Arabidopsis thaliana: one gene and its partner. The protein of the gene in region 1 interacts with the protein of each later gene in a pairwise test. Each region holds a gene or a part of one and is shown in the gene's direction. Other genes may lie near its edges.

Region 1 (4,647 bases):
ATTATCTCTACGTTTCAGGTTAGGAATATACTGAATGATAGAAAGAAATTGCGTAAGGTTATAGATGTCGAGCTGCCTCGGAATTCATACAGCATGGAAGCTATAACCATGTTTGCTGATCTAGCATCACGGTGCATCCGTATAGAGAGTAAAGAGCGACCTTCAGTGATGGATTGTGTTAAGGAACTGCAACTAATTATCTACACAAACTCGAAGGGTGGTTTGGGTGGGACGATTCCTACATTCAGAAGGCTCTAGACACTGAATTCTTCGAAACAAGTAAAATGGATTACTGTCATTTTTCCTAAAATGAGAGGTCACTGATAAAAAAACACTTGATAAATATAAACAAACAATACTAATTATGAATTACCGGATAATTTCAATTCAACTTCCAGCTAGGAAACTTTGATCAAGCGATATTATTTGGATATATATACTATAATTTCACTAAGAAAATCAAGCACTAGATGTATCCGTATAGTATGTTGTATTTGCTGCTATGAATGTTTTGCTTTAAGAGAAATGAGTACATAAATTCAGGGGTGTAGTCTTGTTTTTTCTTTCCTTCTTTCGCCTAATGCCTAAAGAATTAACCACATGTCTATGAACAAGAAATACAATCGCTGCCAATACAGGAAGCAGATAACAAAGATAAGAGTGTGTGTGGAGTACCTCTACTAAGATCATATAAACAATAGGTCGAAGCAAACGGGATTATCAACCCGACCCTTGGTCATGTCACATTTAGCTCCTACATAATAAAGCCAATCACAATGTTTGTTATAAATTCAGAAAAGGTTGAGAAGAAGACTAAAAGCTAATTGGTACACTGATGGAAAAACTGTACCCATGTTTACACATTTGCAGAGGAGGTCAGCTCATTATCAGACCCCACCATTTCTACTATAGGATTGGTGCATAGTGGAAGAAGTTTCTTCCGCATCAAATGCTTACGCCGCTGTAACATCAGAAGGACCAAAACTGTATCTGTCTTAACAACCTCGTATCCTGCCTTCTTGTACATATTGAAAGGAGCCTCATCAACCATCCTACAATGCAAGTATACATCTTTTGATGGACTAATCTGAGATATCAGTTCCTCACTCGCCTTCAACAAATGCCACCCAATTCCTCTCCTTCTAAGATCCTCTTTGACAGTCATGTTACAGATATAAGGTGATTCCTTAGGAGGAGTTGGAGAAGGAGGAGAAGCATTAGCGCCTCGTTTCTCCAAACAAACCTCAACAGTTCCAGCCATCACAGCCTCCTCCTCTCCATCATCACTAAACTCATCAACTTTTTTCCTAAAGAAACCAACTAAAGTAACTGCGTGTGGCAACACTTCTCTTCTCTCAATCAAATACTGCTTAATCAAAAACCGTAACACAGACTGATAACCAGAAGGTAATAACATCGATTCACCAAATGACTCAGCCAATAGATGCACCGTTGAATCCATCTCTTCATGTCTCATAACTCGAACCCACATCGATCCAGATTCAAGCTCTTGAAAATACGCAAATCCTTCAAGAGTTTTAAGCTTCTCTAACTCATCGTTACTCAAAAACCTCCCGGTACGAAACGATTCCTCTAGAAACGCGTAATTCCCGGTCGATTTAGAGTTTTCTTCTCCAGTTTCTGTAGCTGTCGAAACTGAAGAAGGAGGGAAAGCGAATCTGAGATTGGAGCGGTGAGATTTACACGAGTAGAGTAATGGATATCTATGTGAAGAAGACGAGAAGCCAAACTTCGTTGATTGGGTTGGTTTGAGAGAATCAACAGAGAAAGCTAGTGAGATGCTTAAAGCCGCCATTGACACACACACACACGATTTTCTCCGATTTGATTGTGGTTCAGTGTTCGCTAATCTGTTTATAACGAAATAAAATGGATAAAGTAACAGTCATACACTAATCTTTAAAACGCCGCGTTTTGAACTAATCATGAAGCTCAGTAGTTATTGGGCCCTTATGGCCCATATACTGATATAAAAATGAGGAAACTGTTATAAGCCAGTAGCTATTTGGGCTTAAGGCCCATATTGCGATATATATAGTTTTAATTTTTCCGAAGTTCGGCGATTTCAGAAGACGGAGGAGGAGCGAGGACGGCCGCCATGGATCCAGCAGGAGCATCGGTGGCCAGCGCAATCGGAGGAGAAGGAGAGAAATTCGCGGTGGGGAATATTTATTCAGTGAAGGTGATCACCGGAGATGAGTTCAGAGGGATCGTCATGGCTTACGACCCCATCCCCAACTTCGTCTTTTTTGATATCCTTAATTTCTTTAATTGTTTGTTTCATCAAAATTTGAGATTTAGGTATTTTCAATGTCTTGACCTGAATTGTGTTATCCTTGACGAGTTATTGGTTATTACAAGAGGGTACAAAACCTAGACCTGGGCATTTGAAGAACACTCGGATGGTGAATGCGAGTTTTATTACAGGGCTTTCGTATTTAGGCAAAACTGAAGATCCACTTGATTCAGACAACTTTTCTGTTGATCTTAATGGTCTCCGAGCTAAAGAGGCACTTGCTATCAGGTGATAAGATATTTTGTTGTTGAATCCTTTCAAAATGCAATTTTTATTGCTATTTGCTTGTTTTGAGCTTACTTGGGAAAACGTATTGAGCACAGGCAAGCGGAAGCAGATGCTGAAAGAATGGGAGTTGGTGTTACCGCTGAGGCTCAGAGCATCTTCGACGCGTTGTCTAAGACGTAAGGATCTTCTCTTTTTATACGTTTTCGGATCGAAAAATAAGCTAATCTCTAAGAAGGAAACACAGCTTAGAGTATACGGTAGAGAGGTGGGACGAGATCGTAATCTAATGTTGTTTAGTTGAACTATTAGTTCTTTGTAAACAATTGCTTGGGTTGGAGGATTTTGTTTTGTGCGTCTAATGTGTTATTCCCAAAGATAAATTGTTAGGATCTGGACATGATTTAGTGTTGTTTTGCTCTTGGTTTCCGGTGATGCTAGTTTGCAACTATATATATGTAAAGTTTCTATGTTTGTGGTTGTTGTAGATTACATATGTTGTGGGCTCTAGTGTCAAGTATCTTTAGTCTTCTTTGTGATACTGATACAGTTAAGAAGCTGTCTAGATACATAGTTTTAGACTACATAAATCCTTAAACTTTCTTTGTTTGAATTTGCTTTTTCTCTTTCGAATGAATCACATGTGAATTATTTTCCTTTTAGGCTTCCTGTGCAATGGGAAAACTCAGACATTCTGGTGATGAAAGAGGTACGCGTTCGTAGCCCGTATCTTTCAGATTGTGTCTTTGGAGGAACTGATGCTGCCAACAACCGAGTCAAGAAAGTGGTAAGCGTCACTTTCAGTTCATTGTGTAATGCCAATTAAGCCTCTGGTGTTATATTAGTCATTTGCATTCAATCGTGTAACGTTGATCAAGCCTTGGGTGTGATAGTAATGCAATTTTGCTTTTATCGCAGCTTGAGCTGGAAAGACGAAGGTTGCAACTCTTTGGCACATGAGGCTAGTGAAAAGAGTCGGTCAGTGAAATAGCGAGAAAGGGTTCGTTGCTACTAACCCGAAAGGCGTCTATAGATCTGATCGACCAGCGAAAAGCGGATATGTTTGCTTTTCGCATGTTGTTGTCTTTACTTAGAATCTGCTTGTCCTTGTAAAAGCAGATTAGAGATTTCTTGAGTTACAGCCTTACAGGGATTGAAATTTGGACTAATTTCACCCTGGTTATTGACAAGAACAGTGAGGTCTTGTCTTGTCCACTTTTTACCAGGGCTTGGTTTATTTATCGCCTGGAACTGTAAACTATTCTGAAATGTTGAACTACTTTTTAGTGACTTCTCCGGTAGATTTTTACATCTCGTGTGCTCTAGAACTGAGTTCCTTGATCAATGCAAAAGTTATAAGAAATATTTTTCTGTTGATTGTTAGTATTGAACTGTGTATAGATTCCAATGATGATCATAATAGACCGTGGTGATGTATAAAACCATCTTATTCGATACACAACATATACAACTATGGACACAACTACTTTGCGTTTGGGTGATCAAGCGTGAGCTAACTTGTTGATTAGAAACCAACATTGATGCTACATGCGAATGAAATTTTACGTTACGACTAAGCTAACTCTGGATAAGCGCTTGCATGAGGAGATGGAGATATAACAATGATCACTCAGGTTGCTTGATATCATTTGAATCAAAGCTTTAAGAATGTTGTAAATTGAATCCAAAAACTAGTAAGACAATGTGTTAATTCAACATTGGAACTTATAAGTATCATAGATCGACGCGAGAGTTCTGCTTCTAACAGATACTTATCACCAAAACCTTAACCTATCTTTAGTGCAAAACACCACTAAACTATGAGCCACAAAAATTATTAAGAAGGCAACAAAAACCCTACTAAGAAGCCAAAGGAAACAATCCACACACTTGCTTCTAATCTTCTACTTGTTGAGTATTTCGCTGAGATTGAGTTGCTTTCTTTAGCAATCCACTACTAACACAAGCCTGAAAACACAACCATTTACCAGCAAGAAGACACCACCACAGCAACAGTGTAACATTACTGAACTCAAGATGAAAAGAGACTAACCTGAAGAGCTCTCTTACCACATGAACGAGAATTGTGCCCTGCTTGACCACAT
Region 2 (3,927 bases), on another chromosome or scaffold:
CTTTGGATGCTGATGGAGATGTACCTCCTAAAGCAAAGTCTTATGAAGGAGTGTTCTACAACTACTTCAGCATAGGTTTGGAATTTGGATACATGAAGTAACTTTATCTTTCATTGTTCTTAATAAATTTCTACAAAGTTAAACCTTTTGAAGTAATTTGGTATTTTCTTGTGTTGTTTAGGTATGGATGCTCAAGTTGCATATGGGTTCCACCATCTTCGCAATGAGAAACCGTATCTAGCTCAAGGCCCTGTTACAAATAAGGTTGCTATATATCAGAATCTTCATTCTTGTCTAAGTTTCATTAATTAGCTGTTTTTTTGGTTTGTAATGAGATTATGAATCACACTCGTTTCGGTTTTGCAGATTATCTATTCGAGTTACAGTTGTACTCAAGGTTGGTTTTGCACGCCTTGTGTCAACAATCCAGCTTTAAGGTTAGCATTTTCTGTGAAGAGAGTAAACCAAAAGCCTTTTCTTTACTCAATTCCTGTCTCTTGTTGTGTTGACATGTTGTGGTAAGATGAATTTGCAGGGGACTAAGAAACATTATGAAAATCCATATTAAAAAGGCAAATTGTTCCGAGTGGGAAGAGATCCATGTTCCTAAGAGGTTCATATAAAACTAATCTTATCTTTGATTAAAACTAAAAAAATGGCTTCACTTATAATCTCTCTGGTTTTGTTTTGGTGTAGCGTAAGATCTATTGTGGTGTTGAATCTTTATAACTATGGAAGTGGAAGACATCCATGGGGTAATCTCAGACCAAAATATTTAGAGAAGGTAATAATGTTTTATTCAGTACACTAATCTTAGGTTTTATTGCTTTCTCTACAAGCTTTAACAGAACGTGTTCGGGTTTTATAACAGAGAGGATTTGTGGAGGCGCATTGTGATGACGGACTGATAGAGATCTTCGGTTTAAAGCAAGGTTGGCATGCGTCATTTGTAATGGCTGAAATTATCTCAGCTAAGCACATTGCTCAGGTACAACAAAATACATCCAAAGTTTCTTTATAAGAATCGGTTTAACCTCGGTTTGATATTAAACCGTTTATCGTTTTAGGCGGCTGCGATTAGATTTGAACTAAGAGGAGGTGATTGGAAAAATGCATTCTTGCAAATGGATGGTGAACCATGGAAACAACCGATGAAGAGTGATTATTCGACTTTTGTAGAGATAAAAAAGGTTCCTTTTCAATCGTTAATGATCAATGGCGAATGATCGAGGAAACTCTTTTCAAGAAGTTGTAAAAGGATTAAAAAAGCATGATTCTTTATGTATTTCTGTTCCATCAATTAGTCAAAATAGTGATCTATGTTGAGCTTTTGCTACGGCTGTTGTTGTGCTAGTGAAGCATTTAACTTTGTGTATTTTATCAAAAAAAGATGGTTATTTATTCAATAGTCATTAATATACAATTAAGATATAAGCAATCATCTTCAGGTAGACCTTGAAATCTTGTAAACATGATTTTGCTGTCTTTAAACTCTGTTTCTTAAGTCGTTTTTCAGTGTTTTGGAGATAGTAGTAATGGGTCTAAAAAGTTAAATAATGTTTTTGTGGGGAGAAAAATGAAAATAGCAGATTTTCGAGGATGGGAAGAGTAAAACATATATTTGAGAAGTCGAAAAGTGTGAAATATTTGTTCTGTCTCGCGAGGAAGAGAGAAAAATCGAATTAGAAATTGCAAGTTTTAGGGTTTTAGAAAATCTATCTTCTTCACTGAGTTTTCCAGCTCCGAAGAACACTTGCAACTTCAGGCAATTATGGCGAGCACCAAAGTTCAGAGGATTATGACTCAACCCATTGTACATTCCTCGATTTCTGTTTACTAATTCGATCTTTTTTTTTTTTTATTGTTTCTGTTTAGCTCACTGTTCTTCTTACTTTTGATTTCAGAATCTGATTTTCAGATTTCTCCAAAGTGTAAGTTTTTCGATTACTCTGTTAATTTTCGTCACTTTTACTCTATTTGGGAACACCATTGAGTTTGTGAGAGGTGTGTACTTATATATATAGTGTGGTTCTTCTTATAATGTAGAAAGCTCGGATTCAGATTTGGCTTTTTGAGCAGAAAGATTTGAGGATTGAGGGACGAATTACTGTAAGTCATAATCCTGTTTCGAGCTTAGCACAAAATTTTGAACTTTCTTGCTTTGTTGATAGGTTAAACTAGAAAATTTGACATGCTTGTGTTAGTTAAGCTGTGTGATTCTAGCTACACTTTTAAAGTGAAGTGTAACATCTTGGAATTTTTCATAATGCTGTTTCTATTTGTTGTTCGAATTTTGATTGCTACGCTGATTTAGTTACCGTTGAGTTTATATACATTGTTTGATAGTAAGGGACCAATTGATAGCAATGAGTTCGGTTATTTCGGTTGGTGCGTATTATCTAGATTTAAGACTGAGATTGTATTGCTAGAATTTCTTTCTTGAGATAATAACAGAGTTTGTTCTTTTCTGTGAAGCTTAAGATTTATCAATGTCTTGGTTGTCTTAGATCTTTAACCACGAGTTGTTTAGTTGACGTTGAGTGTTTCATTGTTTCGTTATTTTAACATTTGCATTGTGCAGGGTTTTGATGAGTACATGAATTTGGTGCTGGATGAGGCAGAGGAAGTGAGCATCAAGAAGAAAACCAGAAAACCACTTGGTGAGTTACTTGCTACTCTCCTACAAGACTCCTTTCACATTTCTTATATTGGTTTTGTTTTTGGTGCTAACTCTCGCAAATACTGGATTTTCAGGTCGGATTTTGCTTAAAGGAGACAACATAACTCTCATGATGAACGCGTAAGTATCATTATTATCCTCTTCAGATCCTTTCTTTCCCATATCTCTCAATTCGTCTCTCCATGAATGTTGAGATACAAACTCAATCCCTTATATATCTTATTACAGGGGCAAGTGATGTCTGTTGCAGTGCAAGGAATGATCTAATTATATGGAATGGTTTAAGAGTTCCTGCTCCCCTCTCGTTTCTCTGTTGGGTAAAAGTTGTCTTTTTGCTGTTTACTTCTGTCAACTTGAGAAATTTCAACTTTGCAAACAAAATTATGAGAAAATAGTTTCATCAAAAAAGACCTCAAATCCAAGAAGATTGTAGAAATGTCTAATATTTGTCTATTTGGTTAGATTACGATCCAAAATCTGATATTAATATGATTCGTTGGTCTTATTAGTCAAAAGAAGGCCCTCGCATAAATCACACATAAGAAAATGTTGGGAGAAACATACGTTGTGTTGTTTTCCCGATCTCACGTTACCAATAAAAAATAACATTGTATACAAAAAGAGAAAAAGTTAAAACGTAAGAACAACCTCTTTTAGCATGAGTTTTTTTAGATATACAAATAAAATCATACTCAATAAGGCTTCCTACCAAGAAAATTCCCCGGTGGATCATAATTGCAAGTCAAGAATACGCCTCCTCCGCCATTGCAGATCACGTGAGCGCAACCAATCTTTTGTGTGTTCTTCCACACGATTTGTGTGTAATGGCCACACATCTCGGAGTTGCACGAGTTAGATCTATAGTTATAGCTCCTTGCTTCAGACAACCATCCATAGGCGGCTTGAGATGGACCCCATCTATTGCCTGAGCCCCAAAAGAGATTCTCACCATAGGGTCCATTGGAATGGGTCAAGGCGCAGTCACCGCGTCTCTGGTTAGCCCACCATTGCGCGTAACGGGCCAATTTGGCGTCCCACTTTAGCGGTTTGAGCCTTAAATGAGCTCTTGCTGCGTTTTGTGGACCCATGAATTGTTCTTGGTATGTTGCACAATGACAACATGTTACAAGTAGCATCATAGCCGTGATTGCAACCGAAACACAACTAGGAAAAGCCATTTTGGGTGAGGCTTGAACAAATGGTATTTGCTTATGGTTTTATATAAGCTTGGAAGAATCATGAAGAGA

The links.
Region 2: the proteins of AT1G24050 (region 1) and AT4G30330 interact in a two-hybrid assay, tested with the Arabidopsis thaliana proteins (one large-scale study listed by BioGRID).

What each region holds. Positions count from the first base shown.
Region 1 is NC_003070.9:8,504,938-8,509,584, forward strand, and holds AT1G24050 (RNA-processing, Lsm domain-containing protein), read left to right. Parts: upstream 1-2,030; 5' UTR 2,031-2,119; coding exon 2,120-2,273; intron 2,274-2,379; coding exon 2,380-2,545; intron 2,546-2,640; coding exon 2,641-2,721; intron 2,722-3,205; coding exon 3,206-3,329; intron 3,330-3,460; coding exon 3,461-3,502; 3' UTR 3,503-3,972; downstream 3,973-4,647. Other genes in the region: AT1G24030 (Protein kinase superfamily protein), read left to right, coding at 19-258; AT1G24040 (Acyl-CoA N-acyltransferases (NAT) superfamily protein), read right to left, coding at 857-1,816.
Region 2 is NC_003075.7:14,835,764-14,839,690, reverse strand, and holds AT4G30330 (Small nuclear ribonucleoprotein family protein), read left to right. Parts: upstream 1-1,541; 5' UTR 1,542-1,771; coding exon 1,772-1,813; intron 1,814-1,904; coding exon 1,905-1,931; intron 1,932-2,046; coding exon 2,047-2,109; intron 2,110-2,581; coding exon 2,582-2,660; intron 2,661-2,754; coding exon 2,755-2,800; intron 2,801-2,908; coding exon 2,909-2,918; 3' UTR 2,919-3,143; downstream 3,144-3,927. Other genes in the region: DGK7 (diacylglycerol kinase 7), read left to right, coding at 1-75, 182-264, 367-437, 536-613, 697-784, 872-988, 1,068-1,226; AT4G30320 (CAP (Cysteine-rich secretory proteins, Antigen 5, and Pathogenesis-related 1 protein) superfamily protein), read right to left, coding at 3,373-3,858.